2 linked regions of the Sus scrofa genome follow. The protein of the gene in region 1 purifies or fractionates together with the protein of each later gene. This does not show direct contact. Links are inferred from orthologs where the notes say so. Each region holds a gene or a part of one and is shown in the gene's direction. Other genes may lie near its edges.

Region 1 (7,864 bases):
GACTGCCCCTTCCTCTATGGCCCTTTCGGCTCCAGGACAAACCGTGCCTGGGGTTGGGCACCGCCCGCCTTTGGCACCCACCCGGCCGCCTCAGGAGCGCTGCCCTGTGTCCTGCCCTCAGCCCCTCCCTGCTCCAGGCCTCCAAGCCGTCTGGTCAGCGTCGGCCCGCACGCTGGTCTCTGAGCCCCCATGTGACGGGCTGACCTTGTGAGGAGCCAGGCCATGCTTCCTCCTGCTTGGCGGGTGAGGACTGGGGGTGCAGAGGCAAGACCGTGCCCAGTGCCCACTGGCGGGAGGGCCCCCGTGGTGCCCGCCTCGCGGTGTCTGAAGGCCGGGGCCCGCAGCTACTGCCCACCTTCGGGTCCTCGCAGGTCTCTTCCTGACGGCAGCACCCCTGCCGCTCCCGTCCCCTCTCACTCAGACCCCGTGGCTTCGATGTCTTTAAACACATGTTTCTAGAAAGGACGTTATTGGGCAGCCGGTGAGGTCGGAATGAGAGCAGTGATTAGATAACGTGGTATCAGGATCCTTTTTTTGAAATCAGTCGTGCTGGGTTAGGTAGAGGAGCGTCCTTGGTTTTGGTCACATTCGTCCTGAAGTGCTGAGGAAGTAACAGGCGTCCCATGTGCAGTGTTCTCTCCTGGCTCAGAAGGGGGGGTGTGCGTGTGGCGTGCCTAGGGGACAGAGTGACAGCAGCGTGGCAGGTGACGCTGAGGGGCTCTTGCTCGTGTTTTGGATTTGAAATTATTTTGCCTTCAAGCTCCCCCTCCCCAAAAGCCATGCAGTGGACCGCTGCGGAGTGTAGGTAAAGCTGCCGTCCCTGAAAGAAGGAGCCCTGCGTCATCCTGCCTCGGTCCCAACCCGCTGGGACCCAGAATTTCGTGTCCCTCATCCGTGCACACCTGAGCCCCCCCTGGGGTACAGGGTGGCCACTGCTGGGGGCAGCCGGTCCCGCTCCTTGGGGCTCTCTGCCCCTCGCCCAGCCTGGAGCCCTCGGCTGCCCTGGGTCCTGTCCCGAGTCCCGGCCTGGGCGGTGCTCGAGCAACGCTTCTCCAGGGTGGCGGCCACCTCACCGGCGGTGTCCCCTTGCAGCGCACCTACCGAATGCCAAAGGAAGTCCGCGTGGAGCCCCAGAAGTTCGCCGCAGAGCTCATCCACCGCCTGGAGGCCGTCCAGCGGACGCGGGAGGCGGAGGAGAAGCTGGAGGAGCGGCTGAAGCGCGTGCGGATGGTGAGTGGGCCCTGGCGGGGCCGCCTGCTTGCGCCCAGGGCACCTGTGGCCCTGCCGGAGCTCCGCTGGCCCGGCCTGGGGACAGGTCTGGCGCGCTCCTGTGCCGGCTGCGTCCTGCTCGGCTCCCGGTGCTCCTCGAGCCCCGTGGAGTCTGGACGCAGGTTCTGTTTTGTCTAGTTTTCTGACCGTAGCCTCACTTGATGGGACGTTGGATGCTGAGAAGGTTCACGATATCGGTGACGTGTTTGCCTGAGTACCTGTCTGCCTCTAGTTGCTTCTGTTGCCCTGGGGTCCTTCTGCTGGACGCCCGCTTTCCACACATGCGAGGCCTCTGAACGGAGGCGGCTGTGGCGGGCGTGCCCCTCACCCCCCTCACTGGGCCGTCCCTCCTGGGCCCGCGGCCTCGGGGCTTGGGCCCTCCGCTTAGAGGGATCCGTCTCTTCTGGATATTTTGTCCAGTACCTGAAACTCAGAAATGCGATGTTTCTTGAAGGATTTATTTCTCAACCCAGACACTGGCTCTTGGATTTAAGATGCGGGGAGTTCCCGTCAAGGCGCAGTAGTTAACGAATCCGACTAGGAACCATGAGGTTGCGGGTTTGATCCCTGGGCTCACTCAGTGGGTTAAGGATCTGACGCTGCCATGAACCATGGTGTAGGTCACAGATGTGGCTCGGATCCCGCGTGGCTGTGGCTGTGGCTGTGGCTGTGGCTGTGGCCAGCAGCTACAGCTCCAATTTGACCCCTAGCCTGGCAACCTCTGTGTGCTGTGAGTGTGGCCCTAAAAAGAAAAAATAATAACAATAATAATAGTAAAAATAGATAAGATGCAGACCCTGAGCCCCTCAAGCCCTGTTGGCCAGCGCCCTGCTGTTCCACGCTGCCGTGTCCCAGGTGGGCCGTGTGGAGGCGCTGTCATGGGTTTGGCAGGTGGTCACCCCTGGCGCTCTTCTCTGGCGCCTGCCTGTGCCCCGCAGCTGCTGTCTGGGGCTCCAGGGCTCTCGCGTTGCGCCCAGCTCGCCCCCTTCCTCCCACGTGCAGATGACAGGCAGGTGTCCGGTAGCGTGTCAGAACCCAGATTCATCCCATGTACCCAGTGACCCCTGCAGCCCGGAGAGAGCAGGAGCGCGAAGGTGCTCGGGTGCGCGTGTGCACATGCGGCCTCTAGCTCCCTCCCGTCGGGCGACTTGGCCAGGCCGAGAGGGCTCTGCTCCCCACCGCCCCCGGGGTCGCCTCACTGCTGGGGAGCGAGTGGCTGGCGGGGCACAGTCGCTGCCGTCGTGCCCTCCCAGGCTGCTCTTGTTTGGAGCCCTCGGACCCCTCCAGGAGCTGAAGGACAGCTGGGGTCGGGGACCACATGTCAGTGGGGAGGGGCCCGGCGGCAGCCCCGACAGGCCTCTGGTGCGCAGAGCGGGGTCTCTGAGAGGCCCAGGTGCTCGCGTGTGGCGAGGCCGCATCCTCCTGCTCTGGCAGCAGGTCCGGGGCACGGCCTCTGTGAGAGAGAGGCTTTCGTGCTCTGAAAACAAACGTGCTTGGGCACTAACGTGCATCGCCGTGTGGAGGAAGTGTGAGCAGGCACGCGGCTGCTGCCTTTGCGCTGTAGAGTTGAGCTAGTGTGGTCCAGGTTTTGGTCTCGGCTCCAGGGCTGTGTGTCCTCGTGGTCCCGGCAGGTCAGCGTTGCAGGGGGACCTCCGCCTTCCCCAGGCAGTTGTGGCCGTAGGTTGGAGCAGGCACTTCTTTTTTGTTTTGTTTTTATGGCCGCACCATGGCACATGAAGTTCCTGGGCCAGGGATCAGATCTGAGCCACAGCCAGGCCATACACAGCAGCTGTGGCATCATCAGATCCTGTCTCTCACCGCACCGGGCCGGGGTTCGAACCCGTGCCTCCGTAGCATCCTGAGCAGCCGCAGTCAGGGTCTTAAGCCATTGCACCACAGTAGGAGCTCCTGAGCCTGTGTGTCTGACATCTGAGTCTGAGACTCTGTGGCGTCCCGGCAGGCGAGGGCAGACGGGGTGCTGTTCTCTCATTTGGCAGCGTGTAAACGAGCAGCCCTGCATTTCTCCAGGGTCAGTTCAGGAAGCAGGAGGAGGGCGCAGGGCCTCCATCTCAGGTGGGCTTCGTGTGGGGGCCTCGGGTTGGGGTCCCTACAGCTGGCAGCGCCATCTCAGGTTTGTTAGCGGGTGCGATTGTAACTTAGGTGAGTTGTACTGGGAAAGAGATTTCTCTTCTAAGAGGAATAACTACGCATTTTTAAATGACTTATTTTCATTGTAAAATCTGGAAAATAAAAGTAAAAGAAAATGGGGGTTCTCGTGGTGGTTTAGCAGTAATGAACCCACCTAGTGTCCATGAGGACTCGGGTTTGAGCCCCAGCCCCACTCAGTGGGTGACGGATGTGGTGTGGCTGTGGCGGTGGTGGAGGCCGGCAGCTGCAGCTCCGATTCAGCCCCTGGCCTGGGAACCGCCATGTGCCACAGGCGCGGCCCTAAAAAGCCAGGAAAAACAAAGAAAGAAAAAGAAAAAGAATATTAGCAGCTGAATGTTAGGTGAACCTGTGGCATTTTGAAACCCCAGGTGGAATTTCGGTGCACGCAGAGCTGTTAAGGAGGCTGGAGCTCGGGTCCCCAGGCGTCCAGAAGCTCCCCGTGGCTCCCTGGCCTTTCAGGGCAGTCGGCGTCAGCAGCGCCCAGGCCACCAAGGCCTGGCCAACAGTTTCCCGGGGCCCCCAGCCCCTCATCCCTGCAGAGCGTGGGGCTGGGACGGAGACACTGGTCGGGTCTCTGCTGGGGCGACTCCCAGCCACGCCCGTGAGGTGCGCGTCCCCTGGGTCCGTGCCCCTCTCCCCATCTGTCCTCTTTGGCGGCTCGTCCACGTGACACGCTGCCGCTGTGCAGGGCCGAGGAGCTGGGCGGTAGACCTGTGGAGACCTGTTCGTGCTCATCCAGGGCGGCTTTGTCTCCCGGTCTCTCAGTCGTGACCGTCTCACTCCGCATGCTGGTGGGGGCGAGCCCGCGAGACAGGAATCCCAAACAGGTGTCCCTTCAGGAATTACAGCAATCACACATTCCTGTGTACAGATATGGGTGTGGTCACTGTTTGAGTCCAGGGAAACCACTGGCTCAGGGTGAGAATTGGAGTTCCCATCGTGGCGCAGCGGAAACGCATCCGACTAGGAACCATGAGGTTGGGGGTTCGATCCCTGGCCTCGCTCAGCGGGTTAAGGATCCGGCGTGGCTGTGGCTGTGCTGTAGGCCAGCAGCTGTAGCTCCGATTGGACCCTTAGCCGGGGAAGCTCCATGTGCCCCGAGTGCGGCCCTTTTAAAAAAAGACGAAAAAGAGCTCATCTGTCGATGGGCATGATGGAAGATACGGCCGTGAGATTGAGGAGTAGGAAAACTCAAAAACAGTGCAGTTTTTATTGAGGCATCGGAGAAAGCAGAGGCAGGGCCCAGCTTCCTGGCGGGCTTCTGGGCCTGTGGCTTCGTGCCCCTCCTGGGCGCCCTCCTGCCGCGCAGCCCACCCACAGCCCTGCCGCATGCGAGGGACCCTGGCCTGGCCCCGCCTAGTCCTGGCCTCTGCTGGTCTGGTGTTTGTCTCCTCAGGTGTGGGACTTCTACGGTGTGGGCAGTGCCAAGAGGTGACGCGCAGCCTTGTCCCCACAGGAGGAGGAAGGCGAAGGTGGTGATGTGTCCTCTGCCCCCCCAGGGGCCAGTCACAAGCTGCCTGCGGCCCCGGCCTGGCACCACTTCCCAGCGCGCTACGCGGACGTGGGCTGCGTGGGGCTGCGGGACGCGCACGAGGAGAACCCCGAGAGCATCCTGGACGAGCACGTGCAGCGGGTCATGCGGACACCGGGCTGCCAGTCGCCAGGACCCGGCCACCGCTCCCCGGAGAACTCGCACATGCCCAAGATCGGGGTGCTGGGGGCCGCGGTGCCCGGACACGGAAAGCACGCGCCCAAGTTGGGGGTGAAGCTCGACGCAGCTGGCCTGCACCTCCACAGACACAGCCACCACCATGGCCACCATGGTGCCGCCAGGCCCAAGGAGCCGGCCGAGGCCGAGGCCTCCCGCCGGGTCCAGAGCAGCTTCGCATGGGGCCCGGAGCTGCACGGCCACGCGGCCAAGCCCCGCAGCCACTTGGAGAGCCTGGGGACCCCTCTCAACACCGGTGACAGCCTGGCCTACAGGTGGGTGTCTGCGGCAGCCCGCACGTGGGGACAGGCCAGGGCTGTGCTCACGTCGTCCCGTGTCGGTGTCGGCTCGAGGCCTGAGGCCGTGTGTCCTGTGGACCCTGTGCCAGGGTCCACGCCGGATTCCCCTGTAACAGTCCTTAAACTGAGGTCAGCCCCAGAGGCTGCATTAAACCCGTGTGCCCGGGCGTCCTGATCCCTGGGCTTCCGCCTCGAGTGTGGTGGGATCAGATGCGCCCAGTGCCGAGGGCCTGCCTGGGTGAGGAGGTGGCCGGGCCCTGGCTGCTACCACCTTGGCTCCAGCCCTCCCAGACGGTGCTGCTGGACCCTTCCTTCCCTCCCCGCCGTCGCATCCAGCCCGCGGCGCTGTCGAGGCCTCTGCCCTTTGGGTCCCCCTCCCCCCACCATACGGCTCGCAGCAGCAGCAGGCCAGCGGACGGCAGCGGTGGCCCGGGTCTTGCTCTTGCAGCGGCAAGGCAGGCATGACCTCCAAAAGAAGCGCCAAGAAGGCCGAGTCAGGGAGGAGTGCCAGCGCAGAGGCACCGGGCCCCTCCGAGGATGCGGAGAAGAACCAGAAGATCATGCAGTGGATCATCGAGGGCGAGAAGGAGATCAGCAGGCACCGGAAGGCTGGGCATGGGTGAGGGGGCGTGGCCGAGGGGGCCTGGGTGAGAGGGCACAGCTGAGGGGGGCCCCCTGCCAGCAACCTGACCAGCTGGTCTAGCCACGGGCCACGGGCCGTGGACACGAGAAACCTGTAGAATGGGGCCCGGTCCGTGGTAGCCTTAGGGTGGTGCCTTCCTGTGGGGGCGGGATCGTCAGGGAGCTTCAATGTCTGTCCCCGCTGCCACCCACCTACCTCGAGGCCTGCCAGGCAGGGGCTGCTGCCACCTGGATGCCTTCCGGGTCTGACCTGCTTATCCCTGGCAGCTGGGGGCCGGTTCTCATCTGCTCTTTGATCCTCTGGGCTCTGTGTGGTCAGTCTCGGTGTCACCCCCGTCCCCATCACGGGGGGGATGGGGGCCCGAGGCTGCTGGAGTCTCCCCTTGGTGGGCAGGCCATCCGACTCCCACAGGCAGATGCCCTCTGCCCTCCCGGGCACGGCTGGGGAGGCCTCAGTGGTGCATGAGGCAGGCGAGTTGGACCCGGGGTCCCTGATCTTGCCTGCAGGCGACCTGGAAATGAGCCCTCTGCCAGTGTCCAGACGCTTTGCAGCCGTGCTGCTCGGGGGCCCACTCTGGGAGCCCCTCCTCGTGGGGTTGGGTGGGGTGGATTCTCAGCCTCTGATGTTCACCAGGGGTGGCTCTGTCCTCGCAGCGCCTACTGCATGGAGAGTTTCTAGGGGACAGAGCAGGAGTGGAAGGGTCTCCCGGCTTCGGCAGCCTCCTGCCCTCTGCGTGGCTGTGGACCTGGGGGGTGGCAGCGTGGGGACCAATGGCCCTGGGCGGGGAGGGAGGAGCAAGGAGCCAGGGCCAGGGGCTGGGCTTCCTGTGGGGCTTTTTGGAGTCCGCCCCCAGCCTGAGGCGGTTTTGGTGTCACAGGGGCACTGGCGGCCCCTTCCTGGGATTCTCTTTTTTTTTTTTTGTCTTTTGTCTTTTTAGGGCCACACACATGGAGGTTCCCAGGCTAGGGGTCCAATCGGAGCTGTAGCCACCGGCCTACGGCACAGCCGCAGCAACACAGGATCCGAGCCGCATCTGCAAGCTTCATCACAGCTCAGGGTAACGCCGGATCCTTCACCCACTGGGCGAGGCCAGGGATCGAACCCGCAACCTCATGGATACTAGTCGGGTTTGTCACCCTCTGAGCCACGACGGGAACTCCGGGATTCTCTGGTTTTTGCTCCCGGTGCTAAGCTTGCTTTCCGAGGCCTCCGGGCTCAGCTCAGAGAAGCCGCTGTTTCCCCTCAGATCCCCCTAGTGGGCGAGCAAGGGCCGGTCACCCAGGTGCAGCCTGTTCTCAGTGTCTGATAAAGGAGAATGGGCAGCACGTTGAGGGAAAATCAGGGAATTGATAGGTGCAGAATTATGTCAACTATGTCGGGGGTTTTTGGGGGGGCCCTTTTGTTTGAGGGCCGCACTTGCGGCCTATGGAAGGTCCCAGGAATTTCCCAGCTGTAGCGAATTGGAGCCACAGCTGCCGGCCTCCACCACAGCTGCCGGCCTCCACCACAGCTGCCGGCCTCCACCACAGCTCACGTCAACACCAGATCCTTAACCCAGTGAGCGAGGCCAGGGATCGAACCAGCGTCCTTAAAGATGCTAGTCGGGTTCGTTAACCATTGAGCCACGACAGGCACTGCCCGGTGAAGTTTTTTTTTTTTTGTCTTTTTGCCCTTTCTGGGGCTGCTCCCGTGGCATATGGAGGTTCCCAGGCTAGGGGTCGAATCGGAGCTGCATCCACCGGCCTACGCCAGAGCCACAGCAACACGGGATCCGAG
Region 2 (6,999 bases), on another chromosome or scaffold:
CGTGAATTTCCATATGCCGCAAGTGCGGCCATAAAATTAAAAAAAAAAAAAAAAAAAAAAGTCTTTGTATTATCATCCACACATTATACACTGGGCTAAGCACCTTCATTTACATGAATTCTTTTTTCAAATATCCTTGTAAAATAGATATTTAAGTCCATATTTTTATAGAAGGGGAAACTGAGTATCCAAAAAAGTCTGTAATTTGCCCAGCATTGGTCCATATTATTAGGTGGTAGATCTGGGATGCAGACTCCTGTGTACCTAACTCCATAGGCTCTTTCTGCTCACCGTTCTGCGTCTCACCCCCAGGCCTAGACGACTTCCACCTGTCCATCCACAGTGACATGGCTGCCATCGTAAAAGCCATGGCCTCCCCTGAATCTGGGCTGGAAGTCCGTGACCGCATGTGGCTCAAGATTACCATCCCCAACGCTTTCATTGGTGAGGGGGCCCCATGGTGGGAGTGGTGGGCAGGGCAAGAACCCCCTTGGGCCGCTCCTTTGCACTGGAACCAGCACCTGCCTCATGGCTTCTGTGAGGCCAAATGAGCCCAAGTCAAGAGGGCCTCCCAGTCAAGTGGTGGCCTTGCCCCCAGGCTCGGATGTGGTGGACTGGCTGTACCACAACGTGGAAGGCTTTACTGACCGGCGAGAGGCCCGCAAGTATGCCAGCAACCTGCTGAAAGCTGGCTTCATCCGCCACACTGTCAACAAGATCACCTTCTCCGAGCAGTGCTACTACATCTTCGGCGACCTCTGTGGCAGTATGTTGCCTCCCCCGCTCCTTGCCCTATCTCCTGGTTGGGAGTGGGGAGTTGCCCAGGGATGTGGCAGCAGACTCTAGGGAACCCAGTTGAGGGGGCAGCAGAGCTGGGGGAACCTCTCAACCTGAGAGTTCTATGGTAGAAGCAGAGCCCTGTCCAGCCTCTTCAACTGCCCTGCATCCTCCTCTTGGGGCTGGCATTTTCTCAGTGCCTGCTCCGTGCCCCACACTGCGCTCACTATTTCTAAAGCATCATCTCTCCCTCAGTCAGTCCTCACAACCTCCCCACATGGATTACTATCTCTGTTTCAAGATGAGGAAACTGATGAGACTTACAGAAGCTAAGTAGTCCACCCACCCCAGGTTTCGCAGCTAGAAGCAAAGGAGCTAGGCCTTGAGTTGACTTTCTGGCTCCAGAGCTTTTATTCTTCCTATGGTCTGAGGTTGTCCTAGGTGTGTGGTGCTGCAGAAGCATTTTCTTGGGTAATCCTCACAGCACCAAAAGGTTCCACCAAGGCAGGACCTGGAGCTGGCCTGAGGCCCCAAGTCCACAGCCTCCTCAGACCCCTGAGGGTGGGCTCTGCCTTGGGCTAAAGCTGGGAAAGCTGTCAGGGCCAGGTTGTAAGGGACTCTGCAAACTGTACCGAGGAGTTTGGACTTGATCTTGAGCGATTGCAAAGCCAATGAGGGTTATTAAATGGGAGAGGTCTGCAGGGAACTCCCCTTATCCTGAGCCTATGGACTGCCCTTGGGAAGGAGAGTCCTCAAAACAGGACAGCAGTGCGCAGGATTGGGAGCTGAAACCCAGCCCCAGCAACCATCTCCGCCTGAAGCAACCTTCTCTCAGCCCACTGGTGCTGGCTGGAATCCAAAAGCTAACTCTTTTGTTTTGTTTTGTTTTTTGTTTTGGCCATGCCTGCAGCATGCAGAAGTTCCAAGGCCAGAGAGCACACCCATACCACAGCAGTGACAAAGCCTGATCCTTAACCCACTAGGCCATCAGGGAACTCCCAGAAGCTAACTCTTAAAATATTTCAGATTAGGTTCTAGAAACGAGAAAGGTTGTTTCTGAGGAGCACAAGTCCCTGGCTGAGGATGGGGTCCCTGGCCCTCAGCAGCTTCAGCATGGCCCCATGGAGTAGTGATAGATGCATAGGATTTTGGCATTAGACAGTTCTGAGTTCAAATTTTAGCTCCACCCTCGCCGTATGAACATGGTAAGTGACACAGGCTCTCAGTGCATCAATTTCTTGGTCTGTAAGATGGAGACAACAGTAAGACCTATCTCATAGGTCTGTTTTGAGGATGATATAGGATAATGTATGTAATGCTTTTAGCACCATGTTTGGCCCACAATAAGTGCTCTTTAAAAAGTTGTCCACTTGGTTAATGAATCCAACTAGGAACCATGGGGTTGCGGGTTCCATCCCTGGCCTCACTCAGTGGGTTAAGGATCTGGCGTTGCCGTGAGCTGTGGTGTAGGTTGCAGATGTGGCTTGGATCTGGTGTTGCTGTGGCTGTAGCGCAGGCCGGCAGCTACAGCTCCGATTCGATCCCTAGCCTGGGAACCTCCTTATGCCGTGGGTGTGGCCCTAAAAAGCAAAAAAAAAAAAAAAAAATTGTCCACTTACCATGTATTTAATTGATTATAAGTTGAACATTTTTTCACATTTCAATATCTCTGAAATAGCGGTGCATCTTGCAATTATTGGCTTCTTAAATTTGATCAGACATGGCCAGTAGAAGTCTTCCCTGTCCCCAAACCTTCAGGGGTACATAAAGCTTCTCAGGACAGCTGTGGCTTTTGCTCAGAAGGCACTGTTCCATACCAGGGGCATTCTGGGTCTTCTGCCCATGGACCAAGTCCACCAGAGGCCATGCTCAGGGAGATGCAGACAGAACAGGCCTTTTTGTTCTCACTGGCTGAAGTATCCTCAGCTGGGAGTATGGCAGACTCAAAGGGAAGAGCTGGAGACCTGGGTAGCCCCAGGAACACACAGTCACTCCCCTTGGGATGACAGCTTGACAGCTGAAGTAGTGACCAAGGCAGGCCTCTGCTTCTGATCATCACCACTGCTCACGCTAGCTGCTGACCCTGACAGGTTGATAGTTTGGCTGGTAGACTCCATAGGCTGCCTCAGTCCCCTCTCCTGACCTCTTGTCCCCTGTAAGGTTGGGTCAGCTCCCTTCAGGACTTGGAACAAAGGACTCAGTCTGTACCCAGCTGCTAGCCTCCAGTGTAATTACAGCTCTCTCAGAGCTCAGAGACCTGGCACAGATGGAGTATGAACAAGGGGTATCCCAGGCAGGCAGTTATAATGACCCCTTATACTCTCTTCCCAAGTAGTCCCAACATAGGTGGGAGCGGCCTTGCCTGTGCACAATTTACTGGGTAAGCCAGAGTCATGGAAAGAAATAATGTCGATATACTGACTCAAGTGCTGTGAAGAACAGGCCTGGCTGGGAATGGGGTGGAGAGCACAGCCTAAGTTGTTCTCTTTCTGGACCCTTCTGCCTCACTCCCACCCTCCCCAGCAGCTCTAGAAAACTGATCCACGCCAAGGGCCTTCTGTGTGGGGAGGCTCTGAAAGGCCCTATGTTCCTTCTGGCTTTTAATGGGTATTTTTTTAGTCTTAAGTGAATAGGGGAGGGCAAAATTGCATCTAAATTTCCCCAAACTGCTCCCTGCTCCTTACTGATGCCTTCATCTGGAAAGGTAAGGAAACAGTAAGCAGCTCTTAGCTTCTGCGCTGGCTACGGTTTGGGTTGAACTTAGGCTGATCATTTAACCTTTGTGGACTTCACTTTTCTCATCTGGAGAAAACGTGACTAAAACCCTCCTCATAGGGTTGTGGTAACACTTGCATGCTTTGTATTGTGCCTGATGAAGTGCAGGTATGCATTACCTGGTGGCTGTCTGGTATTTCAGCCTCCCACATTCCCCTCCCTACCTTTTACCCTCTAAGAGAACAGAGGAAATTGCCAAGTAAGGGTTTTGCCTCTTCTTCCAGCCCACTGAGGAAGGAGGAGAAACTGCCAAAGGCTTGGTAGCCAGCCTCCAGGGAACTGGGATTTGGCACTGAGCATCTAAAGTGGTGACTCAGGGCCTTCCTAGGGACATTTTCTCTGGGGCTGTCTCTGCCGAGTCTCCCTCCCCACCACCTCTGGTGGATGTGGCAGAGGGGAACTGAAGGAGTGAAAGATCTCTTGCCTGCCCTTCCTCTGGTGAGACACTGCCACTGCTGTTGCTGTCTTCCCAAAGGCACCCACCTGACCTAGGCTGGGGACCTGTCTGCACACTACGGGTGCGGGCACATGGAATAGACCCAACTTACCCCTCTCCCCTCCGCTCCACAGACATGGCCAACCTCTCCCTTCACGATCATGACGGCTCCAGCGGTGCCTCTGACCAGGACACTCTGGCCCCTCTGCCGCACCCAGGGGCGGCTCCTTGGCCCATGGCTTTCCCTTACCAGTATCCGCCGCCCCCACACCCCTACAATCCGCACCCAGGCTTCCCAGAGCTGGGGTACAGCTATGGCGGGGGCAGCGCCAGCAGTCAGCACAGTGAAGGTAAGGCAGTGCGGGCCATGGAGGGGGCACAGGCGAGCCCTAGGCATCCTCTGCTAGCTCTGAGTGTCCCCCGACCCCGTCTCTGCCTGTCCCCTACAGGCAGCCGGAGCAGTGGCTCCAACCGCAGCGGCAGCGACCGGCGGAAGGAGAAAGACCAGAAGGCCGGGGACTCAAAGTCGGGTGGCAGCGGCAGCGAGTCGGACCACACGACCCGCAGCAGCCTGCGGGGGCCTCGGGAACGCGCGCCCAGCGAGCGCTCGGGCCCTGCCACCAGCGAGCACAGCCACCGCAGCCACCACTCGCTGGCCAGCAGCCTGCGCAGCCATCACACACATCCGAGCTACGGCCCCCCCGGCGTGCCCCCTCTCTACGGCCCCCCCATGCTGATGATGCCCCCACCGCCTGCGGCCATGGGGCCCCCGGGAGCCCCTCCGGGCCGCGACCTGGCCTCCGTGCCCCCTGAACTGACCGCCAGCAGACAGTCCTTCCGCATGGCCATGGGAAACCCCAGTGAGTTCTTTGTGGATGTGATGTGAGAGGGCCCCTCCCCCATTTCCATCCCATCCTGCCCGGGCCGCCTGCATCCCTCTCTCAGTCCGTCTTTTTTACTTTGTCTGGTACCTGAAAGGGAAATAAACGGAACTAAATCCAGGCGCGCTAACTGCTCGCTGGGTGCAGCGAGGGCGAGGTGCACCCACTGATCGCAACTGCAACCCCTAACCTGCCGCCGCCCCAGCTTGTCCCTCCGCCCACTAACCGCTGTACAAGACTTCCCCAGGATCCTTCAAGTCCCTGGGACCCAACTTGCTGGTGCTGCTCCTTTCCCCCACCCCCAACACTTCAGAAGTTGACCCCAACAGTGCCCTTGAGAGCCAGCATACCCCTCATTCCTTTTCACTATTCATTCATATGTATCATCCCGTCTGTTAACCCCATTCCCTCAAGCATGTGTGCCAGTCTCTTGATTTTTCCCCTTAATACTGACACCAAAAAGAGATTTGCTTCATCTACCCTTCCTTCTAATTGTTCCCCCCCACCTGCTGCCTCAGCCCTGCACCCTAGAGCTGTAGTCACCTCCAATAACCATCTATGCTATCCCTGCCTGCGCTTGACCTTAGCAGAAGCCCAGTGGGCCCTTCCTTCAGTTGCCTGAGCTGCTCGTGGATTCCAGGGAGCATCTCTGCTGTATGTCCAGACCTACCCTTGCCCCATGCTTGCCCTGTGCCCTGCTTCCTTCAGACCCCTAACCCTACTAACCAGCACACTCATCTCACCTCTGGGCCTGAAACATTTCTTTTCTTTCTTTTTTCCTCCCTCAATTTTTCCTGGGCCTGGAGCAGCCAAGAATTTCGGGCTGTTTGACTTTCTGTGAGCCCCCAGCGAGGGGAGGCCCAGCCTCCGAGGAGACCAGGAACCCTGCTTCAGCAGCCCCTCAGGGCTTCCCAAGGATATTCAGCCCCCACACCTACACTTCAACATGTTGAGTCACTAGCTTCTGAGGAGCACCCCAGCCTCTCACCTATGTATAAGAGACTCTGTTCCCCTTTCTCCAGAGTTTCTTTCTTTCCTTCTTTCTTTGCTTCTCTCTCTCCCTCTCCCTTTCCCTCTCCCTTGTAGGCCCCCCCCCCCCTACTACGTGCCTATGCAACTTCTCTTAAGCCTCAGGGCTGGTCCCTGTCCGGAGGGCTGGACCCTCTCCTAGTCCTCCTAGGTTGTGGGGCTGGTCCCCAGACTTCCCTCTCCTTTCCCCCCACAGCCCTCAAACCTCCCACACATGTCCCCATCATCTTCCTATCTGGATAAATAGCCCAAGCTGAATCTCAGGTTGGGCTCAGCAGAGGACTCCCCAGGCAAATGACAAGCTGTTCTCACCCTGCTTTCTACCCCACACACCCTTCCCTGTTTTCACAGTTACCATGATGACCCAGAGCAAGGTTGGGCAGGGGGACTTCCAGAGCGCCAAGTTTTATTTTTTACTTTATTCCTTTGTTTAAGCAAAGCACAACTTTCTCTATAAGCCTCTTCTGTAAATTCTGGCTCACCTAGGCTTCCATATTTTTAGGATTGGGGTGTCAAGAGTAAGATGAAGTCCTAAGCTCTGGCCTTTGGGGCAAACCAGGGTAGGGGTGTTTGGGCATTCATTCATTTAACAAACATTCCCTGGGGGTTTTGGTGCATAGGGTTGTGTTAGAAGTGTGACTCAGTTTTGCCTTCCTCCTGGGAGCTCTAGGTTTGCTCCCAATCCAGACTATGTTTTCCTTAGCCACCCCATAGGGCTGCCTCTTGTACTCTTCCTCCTCCAATTCTTCTGTTTCCAACTCTTGAGGATTCCTCCACCACTGCTCACACCTTCAGGGTCCTTGTATTCTATCTTTGATCCACTTCTCTTTCCTCACTCCCAAAATGGTGTCATCCATCCTGATGTCCTCAACTGCCAGTGATATGCTGGTGTTTCCCAAATATATATCTCCATCTCTAAATTCCCTCTATTTTTAGATCTGTATTTTTATCACCTACTGGACCTCTCCATGGTCATGGCCATAAGGATCCAATTCATCCCTCTCCCCCACCCAAGTGTGTTCCTCCTGAATTCCAATCCTGGTTACCTTCATCACACTCTACATAGGCTCACCAGCTAGAAATATTTATGGGCTTAAATTC

What was found.
Region 2: the proteins of AXIN1 (region 1) and DVL3 purify together in Homo sapiens (affinity purification with western blotting; 3 studies listed by BioGRID and IntAct, with this or other methods). This does not show direct contact. The link is inferred for Sus scrofa from reciprocal best matches to the Homo sapiens genes AXIN1 and DVL3.

What each region holds. Positions count from the first base shown.
Region 1 is NC_010445.4:41,380,999-41,388,862, forward strand, and holds part of AXIN1 (axin-1), read left to right. Parts: intron 1-1,092; coding exon 1,093-1,230; intron 1,231-4,894; coding exon 4,895-5,421; intron 5,422-5,893; coding exon 5,894-6,064; intron 6,065-7,864. UniProt on the Homo sapiens protein: Component of the beta-catenin destruction complex required for regulating CTNNB1 levels through phosphorylation and ubiquitination, and modulating Wnt-signaling.
Region 2 is NC_010455.5:122,085,631-122,092,629, forward strand, and holds the end of DVL3 (segment polarity protein dishevelled homolog DVL-3), read left to right. Parts: intron 1-312; coding exon 313-444; intron 445-598; coding exon 599-766; intron 767-4,122; coding exon 4,123-4,338; intron 4,339-4,437; coding exon 4,438-4,874; 3' UTR 4,875-4,989; downstream 4,990-6,999. UniProt on the Homo sapiens protein: Involved in the signal transduction pathway mediated by multiple Wnt genes.